2 linked regions of the Neodiprion lecontei genome follow. The main gene of each other region encodes a partner of the protein of the gene in region 2 in a complex. Links are inferred from orthologs where the notes say so. Each region holds a gene or a part of one and is shown on either strand. Other genes may lie near its edges.

The links.
Region 1: THO complex subunit 6 (region 2) and THO complex subunit 7 homolog share a complex: the UniProt entries of both Drosophila melanogaster proteins name them as parts of the THO complex. The link is inferred for Neodiprion lecontei from reciprocal best matches to the Drosophila melanogaster genes thoc6 and thoc7.

The regions. Positions count from the first base shown.
Region 1 is NC_060266.1:24,835,405-24,847,343, reverse strand, and holds THO complex subunit 7 homolog, read left to right. Parts: upstream 1-4,467; 5' UTR 4,468-4,658; coding exon 4,659-4,668; intron 4,669-4,842; coding exon 4,843-5,267; intron 5,268-5,321; exon of another isoform or gene 5,322-5,397; coding exon 5,398-5,580; 3' UTR 5,581-5,646; downstream 5,647-11,939. Other genes in the region: zinc finger protein ubi-d4 A, read right to left, coding at 1-153, 1,119-1,274, 2,718-2,787, 2,954-3,159, 3,414-3,653, 3,783-3,892, 4,041-4,120; alpha-ketoglutarate-dependent dioxygenase alkB homolog 6, read right to left, coding at 5,675-5,932, 6,015-6,116, 6,266-6,373, 6,501-6,677, 6,774-6,827; lisH domain-containing protein ARMC9-like, read left to right, coding at 7,374-7,423, 7,508-7,583, 7,671-7,844, 7,920-8,049, 8,133-8,209, 8,292-8,522, 8,605-8,966, 9,049-9,424 and 8 more. UniProt on the Drosophila melanogaster protein: The THO complex is required for cell proliferation and for proper export of heat-shock mRNAs under heat stress.
Region 2 is NC_060266.1:5,731,899-5,745,314, reverse strand, and holds THO complex subunit 6, read right to left. Parts: upstream 6,349-13,416; 5' UTR 6,176-6,348; intron 5,997-6,175; 5' UTR 5,983-5,996; coding exon 5,855-5,982; intron 5,662-5,854; coding exon 5,434-5,661; intron 5,303-5,433; coding exon 5,135-5,302; intron 4,588-5,134; coding exon 4,425-4,587; intron 4,270-4,424; coding exon 3,949-4,269; 3' UTR 3,905-3,948; downstream 1-3,904. Other genes in the region: mitochondrial fission regulator 2, read right to left, coding at 1-101, 736-958, 1,478-1,620, 2,114-2,301, 3,270-3,341; peroxisomal membrane protein 2, read left to right, coding at 6,801-6,898, 7,196-7,291, 9,628-9,775, 9,853-9,972, 10,176-10,277. UniProt on the Drosophila melanogaster protein: The THO complex is required for cell proliferation and for proper export of heat-shock mRNAs under heat stress.

The sequences.
Region 1 (11,939 bases), about 19 Mb from region 2:
GGGAGGATGGCGCAGCAGACGATTGAACTGCCAATGGTGGTTGTTGTTGCTGTTGAGGTACTGCTGCTCCTCCGGCATTAGCCAGAGGCGCTGCAGGTGGTGGGGTCGGATTGCTCGACGAAGCAGTGCTCTGACGACCCCTTCGCGTACCACCTAATCACAAACCGACCACATACCCAGTTGCGCTTTACGTCTCTAACCGACGTCCATGCACACAGATCGATTGATAGCTTATCTTCGACTTTTTTTTTAAAACTTTAATAACAATTTATTCAGTTATAAAATGTCAACCGGGAATGTCTCAGGCATTTTTCTTGTTCTTTTATACTCGATGTCGCGCAAGCGTTATTTGCAAAATGGAAAATAACGCGTCGTTCTTTTAAACTGAATAAATTATTTCAAACATCTAGCGAATCAAAACCATATCAAAAATATAAATAAATAATCGAACACAAAAACAAACAGGCTGCAATTTAAAAAATTCTCCACCACCTTCTGCACATTTAGGTTGCGGTATGTAAACCGATATCTAATAACAATACTCCAAACTCAATATGTATATACGCAACAAGCTATAGTGGCGACTCAAATATTTTACATGTACTCGTCAATGGTTCGCGTTACAATCACCCGCGTTTTCTTTATTTTTCGCAGGTGTTTGTATAACAGCCCCTTTCATTTCAAAGGTCCGATACAGCAAACAAAAGATAAATAATTTATGTTGTTATTCGTTGAGCTGAAGAGCATGCTGAAGACAGAATGACAGGTTCTACGAAGAACACACACGTACCAGACACTCACGCAACACGAGTACGCATAAAAACATCGATTCAAGGCAGGGGTGGTGAAATTCTAACGCCGACCAAACACGGATCATCAGGATGTTCCAGTAATAAATTCACGATGAGATAAGATATTTTGTGTCTATGCGGGTTTGTCCCGATCTAGTGTTTGGACGTAGCCAGAAACGTGACGATGATATGTGAACGGGAAAGACGTGAATCTGGAGTTGAGCTCGTACGAGTTCAAGTCAACCAGGTAACGTTATAGGATGGAAATATCGAAGGGTTATTGGTACGAAAGGGAGGTGAGAAAACTGAGCTGATACTGGCTCCAACCTGGCTGGTCCAAAGCGTTGACATCAGCTGCACTCCACGATTCAACATCTGCGGGACTGGGACTTGGTTCCTTAGCAGGATCGCCAGAGGAGGTAGAGTGGGAATGACCGTAATGGTATACCAGACCTGGTCTGGTTTTATACCGAGCGCCGCACACTGTAAAAGTGCAAACACTGTTTTCCGGCGAAAAAAAAAGTACGTTCAACGTATAACCAATATTTCTTACAGGCCAGATATTTTCTCTCTTCTTTTTTTGATTCATTTCGTTTCTTCATCAACAAGTTTTAATTGAATTCCTGAACAATTTTGACGGGGGTTGGAGGACGAAAGCCAGAGGATAATTTTATCAGGGATATCACTTGCACACTTTCCGCACTAATACGCATCCCTATCCACCGATCATTGATCTCTATTTATGGACAAGCAGTGAAAGAGTTCCAGCCCAAGAAGCAAAAACCAATACGATGCAAGGCTTGATGCTTGAAAATACCTACGTTTTTAAATCGTTACAAAGCGAGCCATTACGTTTTCGCTTGGTAAAGTTATTTGCAAATATTAAGTGTTCCAAAAGACGTTTTCTTTTCCAACGATTACCCTTAAAAATATTAGATTTGATTCACGGGATGACAAAAAGGTGGACTTTTTAGCAATTCATTTTCACCATTTAAAACTGATTCGCTGATCATTTAATTAGGAAAAAAAAACGTCTTTATTATTTTTTTTTTAAAACTGAATACATAACAAGGATGTTATTGTTAAACAGAAAATAGATGCAAGGTACGCTTGAATTAATTCGAAGAGCTTGAATCAAAAAGTATATGGTGGTAATGTAAACCAAAACTGATTTATTCAAAAGACTTTCTGATAAACTGCAAAGACTATCACTCAATCGATTCTATTTATGTAATCAACGCAGTGCGAAATTAATTTCTCTATGCCGATTAATTGAAATGCTGGAAGTGTTGCGATTCGAGAAATTGTAATAGTGTGAAACATGAAAAGCAGTCAAGCAGAATAGTTTGCCGGTTAACTGACATCTTCACACGAACATCAGAGCATAATTAGTATTTTTTATTAGTCTGTTATTTTTTAAAAATTGTGAGTAATGTTGTAGTTGGTATCATTGAATTCATACTTTTATCATTAAAGCATCTGGGAATTAATGTCAATTAGAAGAGTACCTTTCGAGACAATAAAATATTAAATAAAATACTCCATTCCCCGACGCAAAATTACGCAGTGTGTTAATCTAAACGTTTTAAGAATTTATTTTGATTATGATTTACTTTCTTGCTTTTCTTCCCTAGTATATATTATATCATATATTCCTTTGTTTACCTTGCAAATAGTTGATAAGTATGGTAAAAATATAATAATAGAATAAGATTAACAAATTTTGCAACGCATTGCGTTAGTTACTTAAAACCAAAACAATAAACGGTAGAAGTAGTAGTGATAGTAGTAGTAGTTGTTGTTGCTGTTGTTTTTGTAGTAGTAGTAGTAGTGGTAGTAGCAGTAATAATAATAATAATTTGTTTTTTGTTTCAATGAAAACAACAGGAAGTGATCATTTGTAGTTATATCTATGGTTAAACTTACGGTCACAAACGAAAGGCTTATCGGAGTCGGCATTGTCGTAGTTAGCTTTCTTTCTCCCACGACCTCCACCCTGTATCAACAACAACAGATTGTTCATTGAGCGAAGCTCCGAATAAATTCGACATTTGTATAAAGTTTTCAATATATCTAAACTGTTTAATCCATGAAGTATCTTTCCAGTATGAATAAGTTCGATAAAAAACTGATGGAAGCAATACATTGTATATTAAACTCACCTTTGTTCTTTTGGCCCCAGGACTGTCCACGGTGGGTGGATGTCCCCTGATAGGATGGTGGGCTCCACCTCGGGGCCTTCTTCTCCGTCTTTTACTACTATAACTTTCTTCGTAGTCATAGTCACTGTCTGGATCGGGTTCGTCGAAGGCATCCATGTCCAGCATGTCTTGCTCATCATAGTACCAAGCATCCTTACTATGTTCATCTGAAATAATTTTTTCTTAATAATCGTTGAACATCAAGACTACAAGAGAGTTTGCGGAAACATACGTAACAAGTAATTTCAGTAGGGCTTAAAATATATTTTAAGCATTGAGGGTAGTGAATTGGCAAATCTAACGAGCGACGAGAATCAATTGGACCGGAAATTGTATCAACAATTATTGCACGCCCACTCGGAAGGAGATGCCAATCAGATGTATGTGATAACATGGAAAGTAGATATTGATTAGGACGAACCTTTGAGAGCAACAGAATCTTTGCTGTCATCATTTAGTCCCGCAACAATTCCGTCGGCTCCTTCGACTCCGTCATCTATATCCCCTCGGGTGCCTCGTTTTGGGTGAAGATAGTGCATCAGATACTGTCGCCGCTTTTTCCGCCATCGTTTGCTCGGGTAAGTATATACCTGACCATGCATCAAGCCTGGGATTCGTTCTCGAGCCGACATGAAGAGAGCCGAGTGATTTTGGGCGACTCCTGTGGTTAGAAAAAACTCGTTTATCAATAGCCATTGATTAACCAAGACAGGAATGACGGGAATGTCAAGATATCCAGTAACTAATGACAATAATCACAGGAAGTAATCAACTGGTTCCATCTACTTACCAGTTTGCGAGTCGAGGAAGGGCATTCGCAGTCTTCGTTCTCTGCATAGTCTTGTGTTATAATTGGAAGAATTCTCTATGGCTTCTCTATAGGCGGTGTCGTTCAGGAAGCTGCGGACAGATCAATACATTCAACATAGCGAAGTGCAACCCGCTCGTCCTACGACGGAGCAAAAATCGTCGAGGTTAAATTACTCTGTCAATTTAACGATGCGAATATTTCCATCAACATATGTGACAATCGTCTGGTCGCACTCACCTCTCGATTTTACTCAAATTCGACTCGTTCACTACTTGAATTAGGTGATGGGACGCTGGGAGAGCTGTCACCGTCGCCATCTTCAAGCAGTTTCCATCTCATGGGGAAATCGGAAATGCAACCGCCATTGTAGCCTTCATTAAATCTGCCGGAAGTACAAGGAAGAGTCGATCAGGGAGCGTATAATATAATCCTACATTATATATTAAAGTTGCGACAGATAGCGATTATTGCTAAAGTGGGACAATTGATATGTCACGAGCTTTGGCTTCACAAATGTGGAACAATTGATTTATAATCGATTCTTTATAAGAAATTTACAATTTTTCATCTCGTGCACATGCGATAATTTCCCTGGAGTCGATGATCGAATAGAATCAGTGCGCAAGTCACGTTACGTTGTAAATAAAATGGCGACTGACTTGTGGTAATTGTTGACTCTTTCTTTACCGACTAAAATTACGATACCGTGTGTTTGTAGTAGCTTATTCTAATTGAGGTTGAACGAAGAAAAAATTCGGTTCTTTTCAACGCAAATTGAAGTTCGACCTAGCTGATGTTTACACCTTGAATAAAATTTTTAAACTTCAAGAACCCGACGTCACTACATCATCGAATATGTCAGATGGTAAATAGCCAAATATAATTCAAAATCAAATTGTAAATGCGACATTTATGTCAGTTTCACGGTATAAGCGCCGGAAAGTGAGACATAACCTCATTTTGTGTTTTTATACAAAAAATTAGCTTTGTGATTATACTACAACATTAGTTAAACGTTTTTAATTGCACGATTTTTTAGAGGAAGTTATACGACGTCGTCTACTCATAGATGGAGATGGAACAGGCGATGATAGACGGATAAACGTTTTGTTGAAGTCGTTTTTAAAATGGGCAAATACTCCGGATCCAGACAATACTGTGCATGAAAGAATGCTGTCACAGCTAGCCCAGTGTGAATTCGCACAAAAAAAATCTCGTCTCGTAGCAAATATGAGTCAAGAGGAGTTAAAGAATTATGAAAGGATGTCAAAGGATATTGGTATTCAAATTGAAGAGGCTAAAAAAGAAATTGAGAAAACTAAGGTCGAGCTACAAGATGCTAAACGTGTTCGTAAAAATAGAATCGAGTATGACGTTCTTGCCAAAGTGATCAGCGAACAGCCTGATAGACTTGAAACAGATGTGAAGCTCGCCACTTTGCGTAAAGAGTTGGGAACCTTGAAGGTATTTTATGGACAAATTTTTTATCCTATCTTAGAAATAGTTTTAAATCGTTCATTTTTATGTCGACAATTAGCCGATTAAAGTGTGTCTCTTGGGAAAAAGTACGGCAACAACTATTTTATTCTTACAGGAAAAATCTGAACAATTAGAGCATAAGCTAGAAATGCGAAGAAAACAATTCCATGTGCTAATATCGTCGATTCATTCGCTACAAGGAATGTTGGATGAGTCTGATGAAGAAATAATGGACGTCAGTCTTGAGAATTACGAGGATGTGGATGTGTGTATGTCTCCAAAGGCTGCAGCCTGGTAAATGTTTCAAATTTTCCCCCGTAGCGTTTTGCAACAATAGATTATTGTAGGAAAGTAATTGAGAGATGAATTTGAGCAAAATAAGATCGTCAAAATCATCTTCCTAGTTTCAATTTGAGCTTGCTGGTCTTTGGAACGTGCCTGATAGTCAGGGATAATCTTGTCCCTCTGTCAATCACTTCATTCTCTTGATATTTCACAGCACAGAGATCTAGATTCATAATGTTCTTCCTTGAAATCGTATCACAATGCCTCTCAGAAATTGAATGCAGGTACTTGTGGTACAGGTCGTTTTCTAAAATAAGTAAACTTCTTCTCTCAAGTAGCAAGGTAAACTCCAGATTAGAAACTTCCTACGAATAAAGAATTCAGGAATAACTGTCAAAAAGCTCGTAGTTTCTCACCCTTATCAATATTTCTTTTACAGATACTTACTACGTGGTCAGTCTCATTCCGCTTATAAAAATCCAGGAGAGTGTGCGAGCCACAACTTATTGTTGTAACAATAGGATGAAATAATGGACCATCCGAATGTGCCTGTATAATAAAAAGTCAGTCCATATCAGGGACAAAAGGAAGAAGACTGTACGATTTTGTGTTATTCATAAAGAAGAACAATGCCACAATTTTGAAGAGATATTCTCAAAGTATTAGGAAACATATTATAAAATGAGATCCTATTTTACCATTATTCCTTGCCCAGGCAAATACTCGTTGATCAAGACATGATTGGGTAATTTTGTTTCTGGGAAGATCTGGAGACCTGATATTTTCCCAACATACTTCGTTAACCACTAGAAAATGATTTTTGATTATTGTAAGTTATTCCCCCTCCTCTACTTCTGCCTAGAAAATACTATGTATTTTGAGTCAGAATAAGAAAAAAATGCTGAAACAAATGGCCCTTGTATTCTCACTCACTGCCGGTATTTCCTCTGCTATCATACCCTTAGGATGAGGTATACCACCCCAATTCTGAAGTCTACGATGACTCAACTGGGTCCATTTTGGTAACGGAGAGTTGTTCACCCGCTTAATAATTTCTATCTCTTCCTCCGGCGTTATGAAATTTGGAATGTAGCGAACGGTTCTCGGTATCTATGAATCGAATGGAATTTTTTTGCAAGGAGATAACATAACCTCGAATATCCACAACCAATATTATGTTCATCGATTTTTGGAATAAAATCATACCTTCGGAACGATGGAAGCCGATGAAATTTCCAAATTTTCGCAAACCAAGTCCATTATTATTCAGCGCTTCAATCAACGGTTTTCCGAGTAGGGAAAATCACGAAGTTGTCTGCAGTAAACTGTCACTGTCATCTTAGCATTAATCAAGTAGTTCACCAGTGGATCTCATTTCTGTTGATATTCGCTTGCGATTCATGAGTTCCATAGTTCCGACCCGTGGTTCCGATGGTGGGAATTACACAGTTTAAACGGCGTTCAGTTGTTTCTGTGTAGAGTCAGACTACACTAAGTTTATGCTTCGATTAACGTTAGCGGAATTGGGCGTCACTCGTCTAAGTGTGATACCCGGCAATGATAACCGGCCCATCTGAACAGGTCGAAACCACGTGTCGGAATGATGGAACAATTGTCAACAGAATGAGATCCACTGATCAACACGTGATCAACTCACGGGAACACTTTTGCTGCCGCTGAAAATCTAGCCTACCCACGTTGTCATGGATTCAGGCGCGCGTCATTACGAAATTGATCCGTTTTTAACCCTCCTCGCTTTATCGATTATTCTCGCATTATATAAATAGAAGTAAATTAAGACGCGAAATGACGGAGGAAAGGACGACTGGAGGTACGGGAGACATAGATGGTAAAAGGTATTCGTTCTTATGTACGGAATAAAAATTTCTTCAATGCCAAAAGGATAACTCTAAATAAAATGAGAAACTGAATTTTACAAGCCAGTGCAAGCCGTCGTTGGGAGAATTGCTGGGATCGTTTCAGGTCAATGACTGTCTGGTTAAACTGATTCATCAGGTCTGTCATATCGTATTACAAAAGTTAACAATAAGCCTAGATTCGCTAGATAAGGGGCAATCATTCTATTTTCTGCTTTTGTCGTAGTTTTTACTTTACAATGAGTTCGAGAGTACGGCCGATTGCTTGGTTCACGAGGCGCCTAAACTTGGGTTCGATGTTCTCACCGAACATCTCTGCACCAAAAATGCGATACCCAAGGACGTCTGCAAGGCAGTTATGTCCCAGTACGTCGCTGGGAATTGGAAGCAATTTTTTAATGTAAGGTTCGAAGGTAGCACCATCTAATCGAGAAGAATATTGAAATCTAATTGTTGTTCTTTCTGCTGATCGCAGCTCTGGAATAACTTGATCCCACAAAGCATTAGAGAAACTACAGAATACAAAGTGCTGAGCTTCAAACTTCACCTGCATTTTGCTGTTTTGCCACTGAGAATCAAAAAACTGGATCTACTAAGAGATCAGAGTGAGCATGTGTTTCTCTTATCGTTATTACTTCGGTATGTTTGAATTTCACTGTCAAATTCCAACTGATTTTCTCAAATACAGGGTCTGACGAAGTTTCGAGAACACAAATGATGAAAATACTTGAGAACGCTGCTGAAATGTATTTTCTTGGAAGAGAGGTTCGCTTTTCTCTCTAGTATGTTTGGCTCCGATACTGAGCACGATTAGAAAGATGGTTTTGTTTATAAATTTCTACCACAGGGAGATGATAATCAATCGAAGCAAATGATGACTGACGCCATGGAACAACTGAGAACTTATATGGAGACAGATGGTCGCGAATTTGAAGAGAAAACGGATTTTTTACCTTTTTTTGCCCTTCCCTGCCTGGATGATGATCAAACCTACACTACGTTCCCAGAATTATTCGAAATTAGTTGGATGGAGGAGTTGACAAAGACTATACAAGTTTTCCTCATGAATCGGAAGCAGGTACTTGTATCGTAATTGGCGTAAAACGGTGTGTTCATCAAAAGCGAACTTAATTCATGATTCTTTGATATCTTGTCCTCAGATTCGATTAACGGCATCTCAAAAAACGTCCACAGAGACGATGACAACGGCAAGCAGACCTTATGTATGCGTTCAAGGAAATGTTGTAAACGTGCCTCTGACGTGTGAGAATTTGAAAGACTTCGAGGACAAATTAATGAGTATGAATCCAGCTGGCAAGATACCTATGGTTCAAAATGATGTTCCGAGAATGCCGTTGGAGATAACCAGAAGTACAATAATGAGACTGATTCCCCAGCAAACAGTGGATAACATAGATATTGCCCCGAATGATAGAAATATCCCAATGTTTAGAGAAAATCACAACATAATTGATCGACTTGGCTGCCATGCTAAGAAACGCTCATGTAGAATACATTCCAAGTAAGTATTGAAATGAGGCGAAGAATATTACTGTTAGACGAACGATCCTATATTCTTGAATGTTCAATTTTTGTCTCATCAGAAGCGCACAGACCCGGATCAGTACCGTAACGACGACGACAAATTTTATATCTACAAGCGATCTCCGCCAGCCTGCAGCAGTTTTGAATTGTTCTGTGCTAACAAAAAACATGAAAACACCGATTCAAACGAACCCAGAATTATCACTGACTAAATCTCATTTGTACAGTATTCAAAGCAACCATGAAAAGTTGAAGATCAGATTTCACAAACTACATTCGGATTATCATAAGTTGATAGGAATCGCCGGAGAATTAACGGCTGCGCTTGAAAATTCAGTCAGAGGAGAGGCAGTCGATCTGCAAAATATGTTGGAATCATGTATCACCATATTTCCAGACCTCTTCAATCATAACGTAAGAGAAAATACTTCTGAGGTAAGCTGAATGATTTTGTGGGCAGATAAATTTGATTCTTTTTCTCATTGTTCACTAAACTTTCATGCAATGTGATCCTTAGACGAAAACTTTGCTTGATCAAGAAGTGGAATTAAAACATACAGACCTCACAGAAGCACCCAGTCACATTGGCCTTAACATCAATTCTGTATCTCCAAAACTATTGGATTACAAAAAAATTAAATTTCATTTGATCAATGGGAGCGTTAAAACAAAGTTATTACTATTGCAAGCCTTGCGTTGGGTGAGTACGGTCCATAATACAGTTTCGGATAAAATTTGTACATGACACCAGAAATACGATCCTGTATGGCAAACTGAATTAATCACTATTATCAAGACCGTCGTTCTTACAGAAACTTACTCTCAGTCAACCGGGAGACCGGGATGAAACTGTGAACGAGTACCTGAGAGGAGATATTTTGGGACTACATGCTCAAGTGGCTTGCGACAGCGGTAAACAAATCCTGCCTTATTTATTAATGCCCAAAGACGTAGCCACTCCTCATCCCCTGCAACAGTCAGCAGCGAGGTTAATCAACACTTTGGCTTCTCTGAGATGCGGGAGAGATTACTTGGCTGTTGGAGCTACGCTGCTCAACTTGGTAAGCTTAAAGTACAATGTGAATATTCCAAAAATCGTGGAAATTATAAACCATCTTGTTTCAGATTGTCAAATGCCTCAATGGAAACAATGGTGAGTCGATAGATTCATTCACTTGCGATATGATAATCGCAATGCTGCAAAAAATGTCATTGCGAAAACAGCAACGACTCTACATGATCGAAACTGGACTTGTGGAATGGCTGATATTTCACTTGAAGTCGGAAAGCGATAAAATTGGCTCGTATAGATTGGAATATGCCACTGCACTCCTGATGAATCTATCCTTGCACAAAGCAGCACAGATACGAGCATCGGCTATGGCTTCCGTGGTTATTTCTACTCTGACTACTTTACTAGCCACAGATCATGCACCTGTGAGCATATTTACAAAGATTCGTGCAAAGAGTATTTTGTCAATTGTTACTGATGCCAGTCACTTATCGTTCACCTTCTGTATCAGGCACTACCCTACATCAACGGATCATTAAATAGTTTTTTATCAAACCAAGTAATAAACGAGGAAGCAAAAAAATCGGGACTTACAGCTGTATTGGAATATCATCGAGGGCGAAATTCAGGAGAAATAAGGTGAATATAGGCTCACAGTAAAGATGTTTAATTTATCGCTGTCGATTGATTATTAATTTGTAGAAAACATTTGGACCATATTTTAAAAATTCACAACCGTGATTATACCACCAACTCAGAGGACTATGAAACGGCGGATGACGATAATGTGAGCTTTCCAAAATAATAATCGTATCTTACTGAATTTCATTGATTTATATAAGGTGATATTTAAATTAGGAAGAGCTCGATGTACTGGAAGATGAGCTGGAAGAAGGAGATCCCGTCAAAGTTCATTCTGGTGAATTATCTGGAGAAGCATTGCTCGCTTCATGTTATTCCATCGCGCCATTGATCACACAAACAGAAAGTGTAAACGTTTTCGAGTCTAGACCAAAAACACCAAAGATGCATTCTAGAAGAAATTCGTTAAAAATTCCAAACCCCCAAAAAAATACACTGAGCAAACATCGAAATGATGTTGAAACACCGACGCGAGATATAGGACTATCCCCGAGGTAAAGCTTGCTTCTTTTATATTTTTGGAGTTTAATTTTACTCATGTATTATCGTTATCCGTCATGCATTAATTTTCTCAAAGACTAACAATGCAACATTTATCCTTGCGAAGAAAAGAATCTGTTTGCCAACGACCCATTGCCACTTCACCCATAAAGTCGTTATTGCACCTTGACATACCACCTTTGCTGTCAAGGCTATCGGCACACGTGACACAGGTACAAGTTCCACAAAAACAATGCAGATAGATAATGTTTTGAATTGGCGATTAATTTTTAAGGGAAAGCAAACGGCTCAGACTTATCCGTCACTTTCTGAAATAAACAATCGCTCCATCAGTGATATGAATTCGAGAGCTTCCCTAACAACGGCAACTACCGACAGTGATACTAAGATCGAAGTTCGGTCTAACAAATCACGAACGAGTACTTGCTCTCCATTCTTCTGTAGTTTTACTCGGACCTATGAATCTGTAAACACTTCTGACAAATCTGCTCAGCCGACTTTGAAATCTATTAACTCACCGACTGTGACAAGAAAGGAATCATCAACAGAACCTAGACAATCCAACGAGTCTCAGAAATCACACAGACGCTCGAAAGCATTACGTAAACAAAAATTGAACTCTGTCAGTCTTTCCGAACGACGTGAACAAAAATTAAAAGCTGTCAGATTGAACTATTCTGAAGAATCAGATAATAGCGAAGCAGCTGTCTGTTTGTATGCGAATCAAAGCTCCAAGTGCGTAATTGACATCAAATATTAAGCTTCGGCACATTATGTACATTCGAACGCTTCCTA
Region 2 (13,416 bases):
ATTCAGCTTGTACAACACTGTACCGCTTTCTCAAAATTTCTTGCAGATCATTATTAGGAGTGTTTCCACGCTTTAACTTTAATGGTCCTCCACCTGGCGATCTGTAATAAACCGTTTTTGTATTACAGGAATATCGATTGCTAGTAATCTAACAACAGAATAGACTAAGACTATTTTGTCAACACATTCATGCTAGCTGAATAAGAACTCATAAGCCTTGAGGGATCCGAAAATTCTGAGTTTCTTCCAAATACCATCCCTATCTTAGAAAGCATTATTTAATATTTCATTTGAATGTAAAGTTTGCACGCTTAAATATTTGAGGAAACTAAATTGTTATCAATAGAAAACGGCAAAGTCCACTATAATAAAAGCCATAGTAGAAAATGAAAGAATAAGAAGTCAGATGGCTAAAGTAAATTGCAGTGAGATTTTCATTTCTACGAATTTAGCCCACAAGAATTATTTGTACATACGTGTGTATATGCACTGCAAAAAAAAAAAAAAAAAAAAACGGTATTTAATATTTTAATATAACAGCCTGGAAGATAATTTAATAAGTACGAGAAATCACCATGCACTTATCTAACTTGAGTGCCACCGAATACTAAAAGAGTCGTGATATTGTACGAGATTCACTTTGTTTAACGGTCATACACGTTACCTGATTTCTGTAAAATGCGTCATTTTTACCAGCGACAATAGTCGTTTACAAATAATAAAGGGGATGTTCACCTTGCAATAGGCTTCAACTTGACCTTGTCCATTTCCTTTAGAATATCTCCCATTGATTTTTGGCTATTCAAGGGTGGCTTATGCCATTCAGATGTTGTATGATCTTGCAAACTGGCCCTTCTTGCTATGTGTGGTGTACTTGGGGGCGGAAGAGGTGGTGGTGGTGGAGGAGGGCGGGGTGGGTCGTTTGCATATGCATTTTCACTGGTCGTGTCGGACGGTGCTGCAATAGATTTCAAATACGTCAATGTGCGAATGAGCTACTTCAATTCGTCTTTCCAAATATATAATTCAGAATATATGGGCTGAATCATGCTTAGGATTCATAGCAGTCAAGTGACGCTGAAATTAGTAGGTAATAGCCTGCAAATAATATGTGTATAAAGCTTTCAGCTAGTGAGCAAACAATGAAACGTAGTAGGGCTGTTCAGGGAATTCTCATAATTATATTTCTAGATGTTTTATCGTTTGCTCTCCCCCTGAAACTGTTAGACACAGATTAGCTGCTTATTATCACCTGCTACTTTCAGCATGATAGCAGTCAACAATTCATTATCGGATTGTCAACTCATCGGTCTCGTTTCCAGTCATAACATATCTCACAGACAACTTGCATTCCATTGTTTGAATATAAGTACTCTCGTACATATACAGCAAGACTTACTCAGGCAAGAATAATAACAGTAACAACAACAATTATTTATCAATGTCATAATATTATTAAATACAGTGTTATACGTACGGTCTGTTGTTTTGATGTGTTGGACAATTGTTGCAATTTTCTCTCGCATTTCTTGTAACTCCTGTTCCAGGGCGAGCAATCTTACTTCAGAACCAAAGCTAATGGTTTCTAACAAGTCTGGCTTACTTCCAGATAGCCGCCCACTGAAAATGTGTCCCTTGTTAGCACTGTCAGCAAATAAGTTGGCAGACGTAAAATCAAATGCAGCACTTTAATGTACAATATTTTTAAAAATGTTTAGATATATTGTATATATCACTGTGCCAAATAGCAGATACTTAAATCTTTGTTACTTTCTGTTTTCTGTAATTGAATTAGTAATGTAAAAAAAGGTATTTTTATATTGGAAAGTTCCACGTTTGAAAACAGATCTTAATTCAACATGTTATCGCTCTTCCATCACTGAATAATACTTTTCAGCTTCAATTAAGGGCTTTCAAAATATCCTACGAAATTGTGTTGACGTTGTAAATTTAAAAATCACTTTCCTAGTCGTTTTTGTTTATTTCAAGACTATATTTTTCAACTTAGCTTCTATATTACCACTCAGCTCAACAATTTTGGAATACAGAAGTTGATATACAACATGCTTGTTTCGTGTCTAAAAACAAATTATAATATGACATAATGCATTACCTTTCCAATCCGAATCCATTTGTATCGGCAATGTTAGAGTTTGCATCATCAACGATCATTGAATTGCTCATTGAATGTAAAGCAGTTACGCTGACATAGATTTTTGGGAGAGGCTTCAACGGTAGAAACGAACCAATTCTGCGTACAATACTACGATTTTTTCCATAGTACTTGGGTTTCTCAGCCATCTGTGAAGATAAGACAGAAAACGTGTGAAGTGCAATTTGCTATTTTGTAATCGTGATCTGTGAAAGTTCAAGTTTTGTGCATTGGAAGTTGTGAAAATTTAACACGAAATTTAGGATGGATTGTATCGTAGTAGAGTAATAATCTAGGCTGACGTGTGCAACATTTACAAATGACATTTTAGGTTACAAATGCGTGACGTAATTAGCACCATTCGTATGAAAGTATATACAAACACTATGTTCGTTATCCTGGTTATTAATTTAGGTAGTGAATAAGATCTTTGTGTTGAGAATCGTACAACACTTTGCGACAAAGTATAGCTTGAAATTGAATCCTATTTTATAAAAAATTAACTGACGCGTTGTTAATGAACTCAGGTGTTTCAAGTATTACTTCGTGATCTCACCTCAATTTGGGTTAATATAATAATATCTAGTTGTACAATTCGTTATTCTAAGGACTGTGGGCATTCGGAAAAGAAGTTTTCGAAGCCTCTATCATATACATAACTAGCCACGGTGCAAAATGCTCCACTTCACCATGCTACTACGTCACTCAACTCCGCGCAAGGATACGAATACATAGTTATATTTGTATTGTACAAGGTGTGTTCTAAAACGCATTGCCATAGACCTAATTCTGATCTTCTTTTCACCGGCGAAAGCGATTTTGACCAATCAGAAAGCAGCTTGATTGAAGGTCCTTGCTTCAATGGTGAAAAAAAAATTAGAATCAGGAGGATCACCATATACAATTACGTCATCTATGTACTGTCTAACTATGTACAGTAAAATGTATGAAACTATTAGTGCCTTAACTTTCCGGTCAACTTGTTCACCGTCCGAAACAAAATAAGACTTTGGTTCTATACGAATTATGTCATTGATTGCACCCCCCAGCCACGCGCCGCTGTCCTACTACCATAATATGGTCACGTAATGCCGCCACCGTAGTCATTCATGTATACCTGTACTACCCATTGCCTATATGAACCTGTATGAACCACTTGTCTACCAGCGTTACTAGCTGCTGGCGACATTTCGAGGACTGCCAGAATTACTGTGTCACCCACCTAGTTGAGTGATGAACTTGATTGTGTTAGTTATACAAGTTACACTTATTACGACACCATTTCAACAATTTTCATTTTACAGCTCCACTACTGCAGCTAAAATTGGCTCACTTATAACCCTAAGATATCCCTCCTATATGCTCCATAGGATTAATGAACAAACTTGTACATACATACATAAATCTTTCAAACGCAGTCCAAATACCATTAACATTTAATGACAATTGTATTATTGCAAAAAGTTAAATTACCACTTGATATTAATATGCTTATTCTTATCTTAAATATTAAAAAAAAACTCATACCATTGAGGAGAGAAGATAACGTAGGGTCAGTCCTATGGGGGAGTTATTAATAATTTAGCAGGTCCGTTTTACTCAAACGGAGTATATTTTACATAAAATGATTGAACAAAATTATCTTGAGTGGTGGAAAATGAAGAATAACATTACGTTATTGGTTGCCTCTGCAGGTCAACAAGTTCTGGAGGTACAGCTACGCAGTAACTCGCAGCAGAGCAGGACTTTTCAGTCTTGTATCCTGATAGAGGGTGCTTGAATTTTTTGTTATCATGTCAAGCAAATTTCAGTACCATTTCTCTGTAACTGAAATTTGTACAAATGTCAATATTATTGCTTGATCCAGCCATACTCAATAATTTTTGTGGACTCTCTTGATGAACAATAGAATAAATTGTATTGCTCGATGTTGGAACTTCAGCTAACACTTCTCCTTGGTAAGTGAGATGGTGGACGTTTGGCATTGCTCCTCCAGCAATAATTCTCTCCTCGTGAATAGATCCAAGGTGAATACCTTGGTCAGGTAAGTCAAATATAGTAGCCACTTCCATAGTTCGCATGTGCCAGAGAGCCAATTTTGGACCACCTCCACAGAGCTGAGGATCAATATAATGAGAATCATGTTGTACTGTATAGGATATTTTTTCACGTAGTATTATATGAGATTAGACTAAACTCCCTTAAAATGTAACAGTTCCAACAAGTGAAGATGATTTCCCAAGCCCTTATTGTAATTTCTAGAATGACTTACAAGCCAATCTTCCGTAAAATCAACAGTTCCAATCCACTTGCCGAGCTTGGGTCTGTTCACTTTGTCTGCTAAGAAAGGCTTCACGACATTTGTGTTTTCTTTTTTTCTCATATCCCACAGTCTTACTGACCCATCTTCACTAGCAGATGCCAGCTGATTTCCTCTGTTGATATTAAGACATGAGTGTAAGGGATTTATTTTCTTCGCTTTGTGAAATACGATATTCAGAGAATACCCTGTCCCTAAGTCGTTACAGTATCATTTTAAAAAGCTTAAATCAAATGTGCACAATGTAATTCTACATATGTTGTGCAACAAATAGCATACAAAGTTAGAGTTTTACATAAACTAGTTCCAAACATGGGAAAATTGAGATCGAAATGTTACTGTCGAAAAAACTTATTCACAAATTATAATGTTAGATTACATAGTTTTTTTGTTTAAGTTTTTAAAAATCGGATAATGTCTGAAATGCCTGTTTAAATTGATTGGATCCAGATGTACACTCCACAACCCACATTTAATACCAACTCTATTCTGTCTAATCTTGTAAAAGGCTACTTCTCAACAAGAGACTACGAATTTACCTCAGTTTGAAAATAACTACTTGCAATAATTGTTTCGTTTGATAATGAATGTGAGTATTCAAAATGACCCAAATGTATTATTTATTATGAAATAATCTCTAGATGTTAATAAATTTTACTTACAAAATTGAAAGAGCATGGATGAAATCCTCGTGACCTTCAAGTGTTCTGAGTAATTTTCCATCTTCTAAGCTGAACGTATATATCTTATTATCACCGCAACCAGCATGTAATATGTTGTCTTCGTGTGAAATTAGCATGTAGTTGACATCTGGCTTAACGTAGCTGTCCCTTAAATTATTAGAAAAGAGAAATAAAACCAGCTGAAAATAAGTGGAATATGTATGAACAAATGTAATTAGTTTCATCAATTTGTAAATACATGACAGTTTTAATAGCGTACTGTGCAATTTGATATTTACTTAACGGTTGGTATGTGAATCGTCCAGGAAACTTTAATTTTAGATACTTTATTGGAAGTCACAACCTTCCAGTCCCATCCAGATATTTCTCCTACCGTTCCGGTAATCAGAAATTTATCAGTTGCTATAATGCTGTGAACTTGTTGTTGTTTATACGCAGTGAATTGATAATTCGGCCCTCTTGGATCACAGTCATCTCCATGATAGGGACCCAGTACCTTAGACAACCTATTAGTGAATAATTTTCCAATTGTAAAAGTTGATGATGTTTGTCATCATCAACTACGACAATATTCGTAAAATCAAGTTTGTAAGATTAAAACCTATCACTATGGGTATGCTGTAAAACTATACAACTTAACCTGGCAGGTCGACGGATTATTGAATTACTTGAATTAAAAAATTAATCGTTTGTACTTACTCATAGACAGAAACGTCGCCATATATGTTCCCAGCTAATAAATAATTCCCATCGGCAGAAAAAGTTTGACATTGAACAGTGTTGTAAAATGATTTCTCGTTCATACCGCACGATTTTTGTTCTAGCATTCTTGACGTGAGAGCTTGAACGGAAGCAAATGAGGCTAGCCAAGCTCTACTCCACAATATTTACTCACTTGAAGTGTGCTTGAAGCGCGCTTGGATTTTTCAGCCACGAAGTAATAGTAACTAATAAGTGACTATAAAGAGGTGGATCGCCGGAGGAACAATATGGAATTGGAATAAGGATGAACAATTTTACCGACAGATTGCTGCAAACGCTCATCTCTAGATTTTAAAAACTGGAAGCTTATTACGGTTTTTCATTTTTCTCATTTCTCGCCATCCAAGCATTGTGATCAGTTGACTAAACTTTGCAAATCAATCAGAATGCTTGGATGGTCGGAAATGTAAAAAGTGAAAAACCGTAGCAAGCTTCCAAAATGGAAGGTTTCAATTATAGGTTACCGACGTACCGCCAACGGTTCTCATCGCATTTCATGTACGCAACACTCGTGGCCCGGCACGTTGCAATACCTACAAATTGTAGCTTAGAAATCTGAGACTTCTTCTTCTACAATTTACTGGTTCCTAGGTGAAAACTGACAGCACACGTTGACTGATGATATGCTATAGTAACATTATTCGTCTTGTTTATCCAATCATAGCCCTAGTCGAGTTAAAAGAACCCATAAGTTAAAAAACAGCATAATTGGAAATAAGTATGATTGAGCAGAAATAAGAAGAAAAAAAAGAAAAAAGTAAGATAGATAACGATACTAGAGACTAGACTCAAGAGACGATAGAGGTCAGAGACACTATACCGCAAGTAGAGATCAGTGAAGATTAAAGAAGATCAACCCCAAAAACAGCGATAACTCGTGACAATGGCGTTATCAAAATCTGTAGACATTGTTTACGAACTGGTTGGAGCTTATTTTCATAGTCTTTATTCAACTCCGCTAAAAACGAAGGCTCTTACGAGGTAAAAAATAATTCGTCATATTTACGACACACTTGTAATTTTGCGAGAAGAATTTTACGTCAATGAACACTTTTCGTATGAGTTGATTGTTTGATGATTTTCCGCGATATTTGAAAAATTTTTCATATTAAAACCAACGCATATATCTTTACTGTAAGACCTTTACTAGAAATTCCAGCAAATCAGGCAAAGTGAAAAAAAAAAGTAGTACCAACACCGATGTATCACATAACTCAGAATTACTTGTGTATCACAAGAGTTTTCTATTATTAGATGGTATGTATTTTTCAATTCCAGTTGCTGCATCGCAACTTTGGGTAATTATGTATCACAGAAATTATCCAGAGCGAAGCACCTCAATCACGATAGTCTGATTGCATTCGCTTTATTCGGGTAAGTTGCTTGGCATCATTTACGCATGTAAATTTCAATGAATATTTCACTATAGTATGTACATATCGATATATCAAGAGTTCTTTGAGTAAAAGATTTGTTGGAATGATTAAAAATCACAACAAATATTTACTCAGATGCCTTATTACCTAATTGTCTAATATTCAATCATCTATTTGTAACATGTTTAACTTACTAAAAATTTGTAAAATTTTCCAAATAAAAACAAGAAAAGACGAAAAATTTAATTTACACTGTTTTACAGATAAAGTTAATTACTATTCGCGATGCTCACGACCATTACCAATGCCAGCGCCAATTATGTAACGAGGTCTGCAAGGAGTCTCGACTCTCGGCAGTTCTCGCCAACAAGCCCATTGTTGTATGTGTTGAATACCAAAATATCACATATTCATTTGAAATTGTTCCAAATTTTCGAATATATAAACTCATCAAAATAGTTGAAGTATATGGTCAAGGTGAGGCAAATTTGATACTTTAACAAAATGTGTGTGTTGGCCGTGCAAAGTGTCTTAAGACTAAGAAACCAAAAATTATTTCAGCCTCGTGTTATAAATCAGCAATATTTTATCCTTTCCTCGCCAGGTATAAGAGACGAGTTTCAATTTAACAATTGCAACGCAGTTATTAAAAAAAAGCCGTATTCTTGTTAAGCCATCTTATCAAGTACAATACATGCATACATGGATGGGTATTTGGCTCATGATCGAAAGGTATGGGGAATTATAAGCATACTTTATATTTCGTGTGATACTTATCAACTATTGAGTTGCGATAAAACGCTCGAATTCTTTAGGCGAAAGGCATATTTTATCAATATACAATTTCATTTGATTAAATAGAGCAATATTTGAATTCCAGGAATTATATTTTCGAATTGGAGATTATGTATTTACCAGATCTGAAATGTGAATGGAATTCACCAAAATGAATGGTGTATCCAAGTTTTCTCCTGCTTCGTTGCGCTGAGTTTGCTGTATGGCATTAAACTCTACACAACTAGTACCAACTTTGGAGAAGGTCAATAATTTATTCAACACGCTTTGCAGCTTCAATCTAAAATCACTTATTTTGTAGCATTCAATAAGACAATGAGATTGGTGTTTATAACGTTGTTGCGGCAAATGTATGAACAAAAAATTTTATCGTCCCAATTATTCAGGGTTCATAGGGTATCAAAAAATGAGGATATAAGATTTCCTTTCAGGATATTTTGAGGATCTCAGTAGGCAATTCACTTTTGCCCCGCTGTTCCCACAACCTTCACTAATAATAGAAGTAACTTAATCTTACGTTAGTGTTGCGTTGACATTACAAATTTCAATCTCACGAAAGACTTGGCACACCACACATGTACCAAAAAATATCCATATATCGATGCTGTATCTTGAATTGTCTACAAAATGAACATAGCTACTGGTTTCTGATTTTTTTTTTACTGTAGAGTATTTTTATTCTATCCATAACATCTTATTTACTTAAAATCGATACAATCCTGTGTGATATTGTTCTAACTACATTCGATACTTTACACAATCATTTTCCGACATATACTGTTCTAATATCACTGAAATTCGCTTTGTTAATTATTCACGACTCCCACCTAAATAGCAATACGATTTACGGTCGGCAAAAGATTACCAAGCTTAGTTAACGAGTCACGATTTTTGCAAGTTTTCAATAATTTTTAGTCAGTTTTATTGTGTGCGTTGACTTTTAATTGACTATCAAAAGCCAAATGATAGTCGGCATGTCAGAAAGTGTACTGCCTGGGCATGTTGTACTATGGAACTTTATCTATCCAGACTCCTTGCAACAGTATCCGTTTCAGCTACTCAGATAATTAATCACCGTGTGAGCATCGCGAATATATTCTATCCGAAGACATTATTAAAATATACAGGCTATTCGTATTTAAATAACTCATCGAGATATTTTCAAAACTGAGATAGAAAAAAAATTCCTAACCAAAATTTGTAGGGTTTCAAAGGGTGCGTGTAGTTACAGTGTGACTATAATATTCTAAAGGCTTCCTATGTTTTCTTTTACCTTATAATAATACAAAACTCAAAGGTTTCTCCTTAATATAGAATTTCTCGATACTAACAAAATGATACCGCCTTTTTATTTTTGCGAATTTTTGTACGAACCTTCTTGTATTGGATTTCACGTAGTTTTTTACTCATCCCAACAAGTAGTCCAAAACAGGATGCTGTATACGTTTTAGTAAGAATGCGCGAACTTTGCAACGTTCGACTTAATCGTCGCGTTCAACACTGTGACGTGTATTATCTCGTTTAATTTTTTCTTTTTAGCTTCATTTTTGGTGGACCAGTGCCTCATTATTTTTACCAGCATATCCACAAGTTAACAAAGCATTCGCTTGGGATTCTGCTGATAGAGAGAATTTTGTATACACCATGTTTCCAAGTCTTGTCATTGTACATGCTCGCACGATTTGAGGTACATAATCCAATCTTGAATATTTACCAATAGGATATAGCGATGCATAATAATTAAATGTATTTACTACTTTTCAGGGAAAAACTCACGAAACATCCTACGCTCAGTTGGAGAAGTTATACTGGCCCGTTCTAGCGGCAAATTGGAAGTACTTAACACTGTTCCAATTTATCAACATAACATTCGTCCCACCAATGGTAATCAGATAGATAATATGAACTCAGAAAAATATTGATTCATAATTTTAACTACATACTTTCAAATCTTGCCAATAAGGAATACGTTATTAGAATTTTACAACAAAAATCGTTACATTATGTTACCAATTTATATAAATCCTAGTAATTAGCAAGTTCTAAAACCATATGTATTTGTTGATACAAGTTGCATTCTTTTACAGCTACGTGTGCTGGTAGTAAATCTGATTGGATTCTTCTGGTCAATATACTTGGCCAATAAGAGGGCAAAACAAACAGCCATGGACCGAGCGCGCAAGGAATAAGAGTTAGTCAAGTGACGATGGTTTATAAATAATATTATTTTTTATACACTTTTGTAAATGCAACGCATAAGATATGACATTTAATATATTGATCATGTCGCACCAAATATAGAGCGCTATTATTCCGTCTGCGACTTTATGAAAACTTAGAATAAGCTGTTATAGCTCACTAATGGCAATTATATTTTGCTCAATTATATTCCTTATATGTACATGAATATGATCCGTGTACTTATCGTTAGTATCGGACTGAGTGTAAAATGTTTCAGGGCACAAGCTAATTTCGAAATGAGAAATGACAATATTAATTGTTAAACCTATTTAAAGTGTTGGCCAAATTATAGGTATAAATAAAAAACAAAGCAATATTAAATCGGAGAAGGCGGAGAAATGAATTTCTTACCTTTACCATTATTGTCATTTTCTGCAAAGAACAATCCTGGTTGGTATTCCAACAGAGAATCCACAGCTAGAAGATCTTTCTTGTACCAATTAAGTTCCAGGGAATCCTGCAATGGCAACTAAACAATCAATAGCAGCTTGTTGACAGCAATTTATTTTTTTATCAAATAATAATGGCTTAGGGTTTCTTTTTCTTTTTTTTGAGCTAAAAGTTTTTTTGCTCAAGTATCGATTTTCTGAAGCCTCTTTTCATTAATTGGATCTTCCAGAATTCCAGAAATATCTCGAGAACATCGTAGGATCAACGGCTGGAAATATAAAACATGATTTAACGATTAGCAGGTTGTAATGAAGGGTAAAATTTGAAAGCATTTTGATTTAATCACACACAACAATACAGAGTATATTACAGATATAATCATCAGATATTTGCTTTAACGATTGTAACATTCTGAATTAGTAACTATTTTGTTTGTGAAGGGTTCAAAATCGGTAGCAATTTTCAAGTCTCATATTATTATTCTGTTTTGAGAACAGAGGATTGCAAAAATGTTACAGTATAAAAATGTAATACTGTAAAGCATTTTTTTCTAAACCATTTCTTTTTCTCAATTTAATCGGGAATTGGTCTTCGTAAGAATTCAACAATTAAAAAGAAATGAAATATTGAAATTTCGAAGCTACTCGAGCAGCCTGTGGAGGTATCGCTACCGTTTCTATTTGACTAGGCTAAATAGGATGAAGCTGTAGAATCCAAGTTTTTTCTAAAATTTCTCTACGATGCCTGAATCGACTCGCCATTTTATTTCACTTAAAATTAGATACTAGGTACGCGAAATTACTATTCATTCATTTATTTAAAATTTTTCGTTACTCATGTCATACTCAAATACACAATCACGAAGGCTTTTGGAAGAAAGAATTCTAAATTAGGTCGATATTTGCTCTGAATTATTTTTTTTTTCAAAATTAATTGCAATATTTACATTTTGAATTACAAAATTTGTTTGACAACTCTTTGAAAACATTTTGAAAAAACAAAAATTAAGTTCTCGTGAAAACTTCTTCGTAAATATATTGAATTTTTTTGAAAATTATCAGTTGATTTGTACGTCACCTATTTACGAATTGTTAATAAGGTATGTAGACTTCAACAGAGTTAATGGTTTCTTGAAAAGATAAATAATTATACCCACGATTGCTTAGTTTATTTTTTTGTTCAATGACCTAATTCAACAAGTTTTTTAGAGCAGTGAATTTGCTCAAATTTAATATTGGCGACATTTACATTTCTCTTGAAACGTTTTGAAAGCGATAACGAGCAATACCTACTCGCATTTTCAAGTTATTCGTTGCTGTAAGACGCACATATACGAATGATCAAAAATCCATCACAACAGACACTTCGTAATGATGTTCAAATATGAACATGCTTCCACCAAGTATAATGGAAGTAATATATTAAAAATACATTTCATGAATATTTGAAATAGGACTGGCACATTATTTTCTTCCTACGCACTATGCGAAGATTTGCTACCGCGGGTCACCAGTATTTCAGTGCAGGGTATTGACATCCGGCATAGAAGTATCGGGGTCCATTAGTGCAATAACAACTAAATATACGGTTGATTTCATTAATGCTAAATTAATTATTGGATTTCAATATAACCGTCAATAATGCACACTTTGCGCATAATATTAGAACCGATGGTACAACTGATGTGTTTTACGAGGGGGGGGATAAAAGTCGCACAACAATACCACGCGAGAAACTGAACCTCGGACATATCGAAAGGTCATTTGGCGAGGGCTGAAAAAACACTGTACTTCCCTATTTTTATTTTTTTCATAATGTTACGACAAGGCCTCGGCGTACGATCAACATTGTACTCGTAAAATAAAATCTTTTGTGGGGTAAAAATATCATTCGAACGAATTCTATTATTTCAGTGCTTCATTGTTAGTGCAATATTAATATTCTTTTATGACTTTGTTGTTAGAATAACTGTTATATTTACTAGTATATATTTAAAATTAACTTCAGTACCTTTTTCAGTTGAACCATATATCTTTTGAACCGATGCCTGGTTTCTCATCCGGTACCTCAGTAATAATACAAATGTATTACACGTCTTAGACCAATGAGTATTATAGAACGAATCAACATTGAACATTTCATCTTATAACGTGTGTGGGCGTATCATATTTTTTTTCACTAAATAACGCACTCAAACACACGGGGCTGTTCATCTCAAATCTTTCAGAGTCGATTATTTCAATTGTTTTTTTTTTTTAATATCTTGATATCATTTTGCTTCCATCATCATACGCTGAAAAGTATTCATGGTACAAGGAGTCGAATGGTAAAAAAAAAAATAAAAAATGTCGAAGAGTTGAACAAAATTTTCGAAAAACAAGATTTTGCGATCGGATTAGAATGAACAGCCCCAAATGTATATTATAATATGTTTACATGTTGGGGTCCATAACTTGCGATAAACAAGTTGGATCGTAATTCAGTGACTAGCTAAATATAATAAATAAATATAATAAATAAATAAATAAATAAATAAATAAATCGATAAATAGGTATTAGAGTATTGTATAAAATACTGAACCAGTAAAAATAAATTATGCTACAATGGTGACCTTTGCTAGGTGTACCAATAATCTATATGTACACAGGACTGGATAGTTAACATTGCACAAAAATATTAAATCACAATAATTTGCG